Oreochromis niloticus: one gene and its partner. The protein of the gene in region 2 interacts with the protein of the main gene of each other region in a biochemical or structural test. Links are inferred from orthologs where the notes say so. Each region holds a gene or a part of one and is shown on either strand. Other genes may lie near its edges.

Region 1 (4,915 bases), on a different chromosome or scaffold from region 2:
GCGTGCTGGCACCATCTAAAATTAATGTGTTGTAATTTATCATGTGGGCTTCATACATTTAGAAGCATGTGGTGATGTATAAAAAATACTAATTCCTCATTAAAAATGAGTCATTGTAATAAAGGACAAGAGTGGGTGACCACATCACTGAGCTCCAAGGGTTCCCTCGAAAATTTGCATCACATGCCTTTGTTCTGCTTATATACTCATGACTGAGAATTTAAAAAAAAGCCTAATTTGATGCTGACACATTATTTTTTCCAACTAAAGGGCTTCCACAACTATATTAATAACTTTGAATGAGGTAACAGCATTATCATGAGACCCGCTGGTTTTCATTTAAGTTTAATGCAGTGCAAACTTGCAATACCAATTCAAGGTTGCCGCACAGAAACTTCACAAAGAAGTGGCTGTATTAATAAAGGAAGAGAAATTGAATGTGTGCTTTTGAAGATGTAACATCTATTATTTTTCTACTGTTCTCTTGCAAATTATAAATATAAACCTATAGTTTAGCAAAATATTAATAATAATAATAATATTATTATAGCACACATCAAGGTTGGTTTTGAAAATGGATAAAGCAGGATAAAACATTAAACTTCTGGGATGGCCTTTCCAAAGTCCCGAACTCAACTCTATTGAAAATTTATGGACTATGCCTAAAAGCTGAGTCTGTGCCAGGAAACCAACCAATTTAAATGTACTCCGTCAAGATGAGTAATCAAGTCTTCAACCAAAATTATGTGTATAATTGAGCCTGTATGTGTACTTTTGAAAATCTATAATAAATCCAAGTTTGTGACAGGAGTTCTTCTTTAAAAAAAAATGTATGTTTTAGATCATTCCAACCTGGAAAAGGAACAGTAATGATGAATGGCTGTAAATGTCTGACCAGAGCTGTGGACTGATTGAGGTGACTGTAGCTCAGGTAGAGCAGGTCATCTACTGATGAAGGTTAGTGGTTCGATCCTTGGCTCCTCCTGTCTGCATGCCAAGTATCCTTGGGCAAGATACTAACCCCAAGTTGCTCTCCGATGCATCCATCGGAGTGTGAATGTTGGGAAGCATTAAAAGCTTAGAAGAAAGTGATTGGGTGAATGCGACATGTTGCATAGAGCGCTTTGAGTACTCCAGGAGAGTAGAAAAGCGCTATATAAGACTCAATCCATTTACCATTGATAGTTCTGTTTCTCGGGTCATGGGTCATGAAATGTATCTAATTAATATAACTTTTGTATTTGACGGAAATTATAGGCTGTATTTTTTCAAATGGAAGACTAATTTTAAAGACTTTTTCACCTCTGATTGCTTATTCCCAAAAGCTGACTCGGTTTAATTAACTTAAATATTATAATAAAGAAATAAAGCTTTGGTTTCATTTGTTTATTTTACATGACCAAAAAATTGTTTACTTTCTCTAAAATGAACTTACACTGAAGCATTTTTTATGCTTATGTCTAAATTTGCGGAAGAGAAACGATGGAAAGTTCAAGCTGTTTCTGTCTTTTGTGCTGATTTCTGAGTGGTCATGTTTGTGTTAGAAACCTTGACCACCATAAAGTTTACTATTCAGCAGAAAGCAGTGACTCATGGATAACTTTGATAATTTGCATTACGCACCTCATACTAAGCCAGGAAAACAAAGGCAAAACAGCAAATTTCTCCTTAAGCTTATCAGATCACACGTTACAAGTGTTATAACGTCTAGACGGGACGATCCCGACATGCACACCCTGTCCTCTCATTGGCTGCTCAGGATCTCTGCCGTCAGGTGGTGTTTGGCACTGGCAGAGGACAAATACCCGACTCGATCCCGCTGTATCTCACTGCTCCACCGCGACTTACCTGGAGAAGAAATGGCAAACTCCGACCGAGCCGACACTGCAATAGCCTTCGTCTACAGGGGCACGTTTGTCCACTCGACTCAACAAAAGGCGCTACAGATCCTGAAAGATGCGCTCCTGGGAGTGGATACACAGGGAAAGGTTTGTGGAATTCCAGAATACATTGATTGCGTTTTACATTTGATAAATATCTTGATGATGATTTTTAACTGACAAAAGGGTAAATCACGCAGGCTTCAGGGCGTAAATCTGGTATAATATGCTAGGCTATTTTAATTTTGTCATATAATTAGCTGTTGCTGAGCAACTTTGGCAGTATGGTCAACAGTAAACCCCCTGATACAGAACACTTAATAGCATTATAAATAGACGCCTACAGTACACCTGCCTGATTACAACGTGTGTAATTAAAAAAAAAGATATATAACTTTTAATATGAATGTTTTTTATCCACAGAAAATAATAGATTCTCGTCTCGGTTGTTGTGAACAAAGGAATATGTTTGTAAACTGTAGATGAAAATACATTTTAAGCTAAACGTATTATAAATATACAGCTGTCTATTTTCTACCAAAGCCTCCCCTAAGCTCTCAGCTCTCTCAGCTTGCTTAATTACAAGCACCTTTCTGCACGTATGCTTTTAACCCCCGTCTGATTTCCATTCTGCGGTCAGATTGCTTTTATCGAGGAAGGCAAGGAGTTAGAAAAACTGTCCCAGACCTTTGGATTCAAGACATCTGACATCACTCAGCTGGCACAACAGTAAGCTTATTATATAATCTTGATGTGATTTCAGTAAGTCAGAGATTGTTTGTGTTATAATTTCACACATATAGATATAAAGAAAAGGGATGGATGGATGCTCATCTTTGTATTGGAAGAAATTGATTTATCTCATAGGTCATAAAGCAATTTTTTTTTGGCTTGCTTCATTCGAGTGAGTTCTTCATGCCAGGACTTGTAGATACCCACATCCATGCATCACAGTACAGCTACGCTGGCACAGCATTGGACATGCCGTTACTGCAGTGGCTTAATGCTTACACCTTTCCTGTGGAGTCACGCTTCAAGGACTTGGAGTTCGCCCGCAAGGTCTACACCCAAATAGTGGTGAGATTGCCAGCATCAAGAGATAAGTGAGTTTGGACACTTATCTCTTGATGTCAAACTTTGAACATTTGCATCAGTTAAAAGTTGTTGATGAAAGACATTCAACAAGTGAATAAAGAAATCGGATTGTGACTCAGCCTGTGAGTTAAGGGTCTCAGAAGTGTTGATTTGGTCTTAATCCTGTGATATGATCCCTGTGCTTTACAGAGAAGAACTCTGAGAAATGGAACAACAACTGCTTGCTACTTTGCTACAATTCACACTGAAGCCTCTCTGTTGCTGGGCCAGATTGCAAGTAAATGTCTTATACTAAAACACATGCACAAACACACACTTTAAGCTGAATGTTTATATTGAAGCATTACAGTAGGCCTCTTAATTATTTAAAAATATATCACATTTGTTTTTTATGTGTAATAAGCTACGATAATATTTTTAAATTTCCCATAGTTTAAGATGACAAGATAAGGAAGCTGGACTTTAATAAAAGTGACTAAATATTATCAGAATGCTAGTTTGCCTCACTTCTATACAATCATTGTCATGTGCAGTATGTTATGATGCTTTGACTTAGACTCAGTTATTTAATTTTTTTTCTTGCCTTTCTTCACTCTAACGATATGTTTCATAAACACTGCAAAGAAATGGTCCTTCACCTTTATACCCTAGCTTTATCTTGTTCCTGTCATATTATGTAACACTGAACAAACACGCACATGAATTTATAATGATGTAACTCTAACGCATCAAACCCTGTTATTGGCAACATAACAGAGTCATTTTGTGCAATCAGGGGCATTGAACTCTTAACTTTGTCCTGCTCTGAGTAGCTGTTCCTAGAGAACTGTTGAACAGAGTCATGTGCTTGTGTATAGGCACGTTGGAGTATTTCCAAACCGTATATTTAACATGAATAAAGCTTAAGAAAATACTTGCAACAAACCAATTTGTTCAGTTGAAGTTCAAGCTGGAATACAGCAATAGAGTTTTCTGACAGATCAGACACAAAATGTTTTATCATAGCTGGACAACATAATCTCAGAGTTGTGAAACCACACCTGACAACAGAGGTGTAGATCTGAGATTTGTAGTGACTAGCCTATCGAGCTACACCCTAAAGCATGCCATGATGTGTAATATTGTTCTCTGTAAATGGGAGGGCCATTTATTAAAAGGACATCATGTTCTTTTGTATGGGCTTGAAACTTGTGATCGAGACCATAAACAAACTGGGAAAATGTTTACTGAGGTCATATATCAAGTGAGCAGTAGAGTCATTATCCCATAGAAGTCATTCGCTTGACTTTACAGAGAGAAATCTGTCCATCTTATATGCAGAGATAATAAACAAGCACAGACTAGAGACACCTAGAAAGCTTAAATCACATGTGTGGGCATGTCAATAGATGAAAAATAATGCAGCTGTCTAACGATGGGATGGAAAAGAAAGTGCAGTTTTTCAACTGTCTTACATCCTAACTTGTGTAACCTGATCACCTGAGGATTTTACAGCACAATAATCTGTTTGACAAAGCTTTTTTTATGGTTGCAAACAGTACATCTCTGGTATAAACTCAGCCTGGTAGCAGGAGTATTCCACCTGGACTTTTTCAAAGCATATCACAAGAGGAAACACACCTGTGTACCTAATTATTTCACTTAGCTGCCTCCGTATCAGGCCTCTGGTGTCGTGCTAGCTGAACGACTGACCTGAGCCATGGTTAATCCTATCAAAACAAAAAGCCATACTATTGCAAGCGGTGCTGCTGAACCTGTTTAGCACTAAAATGCGTCAACTTCCACATTACACAATATCTATACTTAGCAAATGACTCTGCGTGCATTTATATCAGATGACTGGCATAAGGAGTTACAACAAGATTTTACTCTGACATGTGTAGAGCCTGTAATGAAATGTCAAGGTCAAAGGGACGCACATACAGATGACATTACAGAGG
Region 2 (4,915 bases):
TTGTACACCTCAAAGGTGGACTGAATTTGTATTTTAAAGCTTTTCACTATCATTTTAAACAGAAGGTCCAAGGAGATGTCAGTGCAAGTGACACGACGTCTAACCAAGTCAAGAAAACTCTTGATAAGGTGATTGTATCATTATTAATATCTACAATCGCGAGATGCCTTCATGAATGGAAATGCAAAGGGTTTACAACAAGATGCAAACCCAAGAACAAGAAGAGGAAATTAGACCTGTCCAGGAAACACCTAAAAGAGCCTGCAGAGAAAATCTTAGGAGATGAATGAATGAAGATTACCTTGTGCCAAAATGATGAGAATAGAAAAGTATGGATAAGGAGAGAAACAACTCCTAATCCAAAGCAAATCACATCATCGGACACACATGACTGGAGCAATTTTATGGCATGGGCATGTATGGTTGCCAGTGAAACCAGGTCACTGGTGTTTATTGATGATGTGACTCCTGATAGAAGCAGAAGGATGAATTCTCCAGTGTACAGGACTACACTCTCTGCTCAGATCCAATCAAACGCTGCAAATGCTGCCGATCTCACAGAGCTTCACAGTGCAAATTGAGCCTCTGAAAATGAGGGACTGCATTTTTTTTTTTTCTAAATTCTCTACTTCCTAAACCATTCATGCAAACTCAGTCACATTTTTATTGTTTTATCCACCGTGGTGGTGTACAAAAACTAACTGTATTTGCTCCAGCCTATATTTTTAGAAACCTTTCAAATGAGACTTAACAACTCATTTGGTCTTAAAATGTGGACTCTGGGTGATGAGGTACAACAAATTAGTCTCTATAATGAGCCCCTTACCTTTGACAAGACGCAAAAAGAGCAATACATTTTATCTTTATGTTTAAAGGGTTCATCAGTCAGCACAAGAAAGTATACCTTAAACTCCCTTCAGTATACATCATTAGCAAAATGAGCCACACCGTATCATTTTTAACTGCTGCCTGAGTCATAGCCGCCCTTCCCCCCTTAGATCCCCAGCAAAGAAGCAGCAGTGGGTCAGCAGAAGCAATAGCAGACCCAGGGGCAAGCATCATTATAACATGGCTGTGGTAATTAGAAGGACCACTCAACCATTTGCTAAACTGAAGTAATGTGCCTTATCTGCTCTAAAAGGAAGTGAGGATAAGGTTCACACAGGCTCATTTCCAAAAACACAAAACACGCCACACTCAGGTTGTCATGAAGGTGTAGCTGGTTACAACTAAAATTTACTCATGATTCACTATTAGTAAACACTTTAGCCAGAAGCAGTTACATTTGCTTCTGGCTGAAGTGAATAAAGTGAATAGTTTTCTGACCAATGATCTATACCCTGCTGATACAGTTTTATGAGACATAAATGTGCCTATTTTTGTAAAACTTAAAGGAGGAATTGTGTTTCAACAGTGTGACAGGTCAGAGTTTATAACAGCACAGTCTATAGATAGACTGAGTTGAGTGTTGCTTTAATGGGATTTTATTACAATCCGAGTATGCTACAGAGGTGGTTATACAGCAAGCCTTTGTGAGGCAAACTGAAAGGCCTCTTTCATAAGACTTAATTGGGAAACATTTAGACTCAGTTAACTTCCCATACAAATTAATACAACCTGACCCCGTCTGCATCCTGTGTCAGCCTTCAGCCAATCACACGGCCACGCAAATCAAACTATACGAGCTGCACTGAATCTAATACTGATAGTGTGCGGCAACAGTGCGCAGTAAATTAAAAGAGATCACGAAAAAAAAAATACCTCCCATACTTAAGAAGACAGGCACGTGAAGAGGAAGCGTTGTTTGGAAAGGACATCCTAAGAACGGTCTGATGCAACATAAGATAGAGGGAAAAGTTTCGAAAGACTCTCTTCTTCAAAACAAGCTTACCGAGAAGGGCTTGAAACAGCTGGCTGCCCAAGATGGAAGACACTTTGCCCACGCTGGTCTTCAAGGCCTGTTCCTCTGGACTGGTCAGGTTGGCCTGGTACTGCTTGAGCAGCCTCACCGCCCTAGCTGTGTCTGCCTCACAAAATAAATACATGTCTCAGAACAACAGCAGCAGCAAAGCTACACACAGACAGGGGAAATGAAATGACAGTTTTATGAATCTGTATCCCATTTGAGAGGCTAGAAAACGACATTTCTGGAGTTGCAATTTTCAAAAATATCAGGAATTAATCAGTTCATACAAAAATTCCAGACTACTCTCAGTCACTCAACTTACCTCTTTATTTTAGCTCTAATTAAACTATTACTAAATGTAAATACATGTAGCCAGCAATACTGCTACTACTGCTTTTCTTTGCACAGAGACACACTGTTATAAGAATTTAAATAAATAATAAAAGACGGAAGATTTCTCCATCTTTTTAACTAAACGCATCACTGCTGCTGCCTGTTATATTCTCCTGCAGAGCACTTTAAAGGCATTTCTCTCTTTCCCATCAGGACTGTGCAGCTGGTTGTTGAACCCGGTGGGTGGTGAGGAGCACAGAATGCAGAGTTGATGCACATCACGAAGGTAAATCTACTACTTCACAGTTTCCTACCTAATCCTGAACATTATGATCGAGTAGGAGAAAAACATCTCAGAAAACAACAACAACAACAATAACAACAACAGTACGGAAGCTGGCAATTTCCACTTACTCTTAACTTTCTCATTCCCTGAGGGCTAAAACAGTCTGGTTTCTAGAGGGGATTACAGCTGAGGTTAGTGGGGCGGTGAAAAGCCGTGCAATGACTTTGATGGCGTAATGAGCTGGCATTAACCTAAAAACTTTAACTTTACCCGAGTATATAAGAAAAAAATGTGACACGTGGGAAAAAAAAGATATAACGTTACATGAACGGTACTCACCATATTTATGCACCATCATGTGGCCGACTTGAAAAGTCACATAAGTTATAATTTCGGGGTGTTTTGAGGGTTTAGGAAGCAAGAATAATAACTGCGATAGTCTCGGATAATTTTACAACCGGGACTGTCGCTCCTTCCTCACAACAGATTTTTTTTTTTAAATCCAGTCGCCGACACTCCCAGTCTGTCTGAAGTGTCGCTGCAGCGGTCCGCAGTGTGGTCCACACCCACAGACTGAGGTTAAGATGTGAAAAAGCAAAGACTGTTTACTTCATGTCAACTTTTCCAGAAGTTTTCTTTTTTCGGGGGGGCAAAACGGCTCCGGAGCGTGACATGTTCACGTCCCTCCTCCCCTCTCTCACACACGCCTCGCCTCCGTGGAGAAGGCCCACCGGTCCGGCCATAGCGGGCCCATTTGCACTGTCAGTATTAACGCTTTAAACACTGACACCTGCAGATAGCTTCAGTACATGACATCACTAGTAATGATCAGTGTGCTACTTAAGCCGTTTATGTCCCTCGTTGCATGTTTATCTGGTAAGTCGCCTGTTTCTCGATTTTTTTTGTAGTTGGTGACATCTTGTGGTGGGATAAGGTGGTGCTGGGAGTCCTTCATAAAAGGAAAAGTACACTATGCAGACGTGTTTTGGGCATGTGCAGAGAAGAGATAGTCAGGGTGCGGAAAATAGAGCTACCGGGCAGGTGGAAAAGAGGATAACTTCAGAGAAGGTTCATTGTTGTAGTAAAGTACATGATAAGATAAGATAAGAAGAGCTTTATTTATCCCGAGGGAAATTCTTTTGTTATACACATGCTCAATGCAGCAAGAGAGACATAGGAACAGAGTAATAAGATATACAATATGTACAATAGAATACAAGTATACAGTAATATACAGTATGATAGTGCAAAATATAATATCGAATAACTGTAGCAAGTAACAATATAATTATATCCTGAAAAATAAATAGCTTAGCTATCAGTGCAGGTGATTCTAAAAGTGACATAGTATTGTGCAAATGGATAAAAGAGTAGCAGCATATGATGGGGAGATGAAACAAACATTCAATGAAACCTGTTGGGTGATATTGCACAATCTGAATGGGAACAGAATAGCTTTGTTTTTAATCCTCAGGAAATCGCCTACAGAGTGAGGAAGAATTGTACAGTTTTATTGCCACTGGCACAAAGGATTTTCTGTGGCGGCAAAGAACACAACACTCTTTACCACAGAGTGATAGAACATTATCAACATTAAAGGACCTGAGCCGCCTCAGTAGGAAAAGCCGACTCTGCCCTTTTTTAAAGACAGCATTGGTGTTCTTGGTCCAGTCCAGTTCACAGTCCAAGTGTACCCCCAGGTACCGGTAGTCCTCCACGATCTCTACATCGTGACGGGGAGGCGTGAGACTGGGGATAGAGTGAGATTGAGGAAGGTGGTCAGCTAAAGCCACAAGAAGAAGACACTAAACATTTACAACTACAATTTACAATCGGACTTTATTGCTTTAGAAGTGTTATCATACACACATTCATTCAGTGATTTTTTTGTATGCATAAGCATTCACTAACATTCACACACACACACTTTGATGAATGCATCAAAGACAATGCCGGGTTCAGCATCTTGGCTAAGGACTCTTCAACATGTGGATGTGAAGAGGTCGGGGATCAATCCAGCGACACTCCAATTAGTAGATGACCCACTCACCTGCCAGACTGCGTTGTATACTGATCAATCACAAAACACTCTCTTCATTATATTTTTAAAAAAATGGTTGTGTGCTTCAGTTGTAGTTTTTATCCATGTCTAGTGTTAACATAGATTAAACTTTTCAACTGTACAAAATATAATCTATTGATCAGATTCAGTCACGTTAGAAAGAAAGTATCCATCTGTCAGTTCTAAGGTTTTACATGTCAGGACATAATAGAAATGATCCAGTTTTTAAATTAGGTGGACAGACCCTAAGACTGTTGCTACACTGTGTCATTATTTAATGAAAAAAACTAAGCCAAAATACAGAAGCATTATATCTGACTTTATCAGT

What was found. The genes of interacting proteins can lie anywhere in the genome.
Region 1: the proteins of dlg3 (region 2) and gda form a complex in vitro, tested with the Homo sapiens proteins (2 studies listed by BioGRID and IntAct, with this or other methods). The link is inferred for Oreochromis niloticus from reciprocal best matches to the Homo sapiens genes DLG3 and GDA.

The regions. Positions count from the first base shown.
Region 1 is NC_031977.2:13,938,356-13,943,270, reverse strand, and holds the start of gda (guanine deaminase), read left to right. Parts: upstream 1-1,785; 5' UTR 1,786-1,859; coding exon 1,860-1,988; intron 1,989-2,520; coding exon 2,521-2,609; intron 2,610-2,785; coding exon 2,786-2,957; intron 2,958-3,164; coding exon 3,165-3,252; intron 3,253-4,915. UniProt on the Homo sapiens protein: Catalyzes the hydrolytic deamination of guanine, producing xanthine and ammonia.
Region 2 is NC_031966.2:19,911,570-19,916,484, reverse strand, and holds the start of dlg3 (disks large homolog 3), read right to left. Parts: upstream 3,301-4,915; 5' UTR 2,884-3,300; coding exon 2,865-2,883; intron 2,684-2,864; exon of another isoform or gene 2,669-2,683; coding exon of another isoform or gene 2,654-2,668; intron 2,028-2,653; coding exon of another isoform or gene 2,024-2,027; coding exon 1,892-2,023; intron 1-1,891. UniProt on the Homo sapiens protein: Required for learning most likely through its role in synaptic plasticity following NMDA receptor signaling.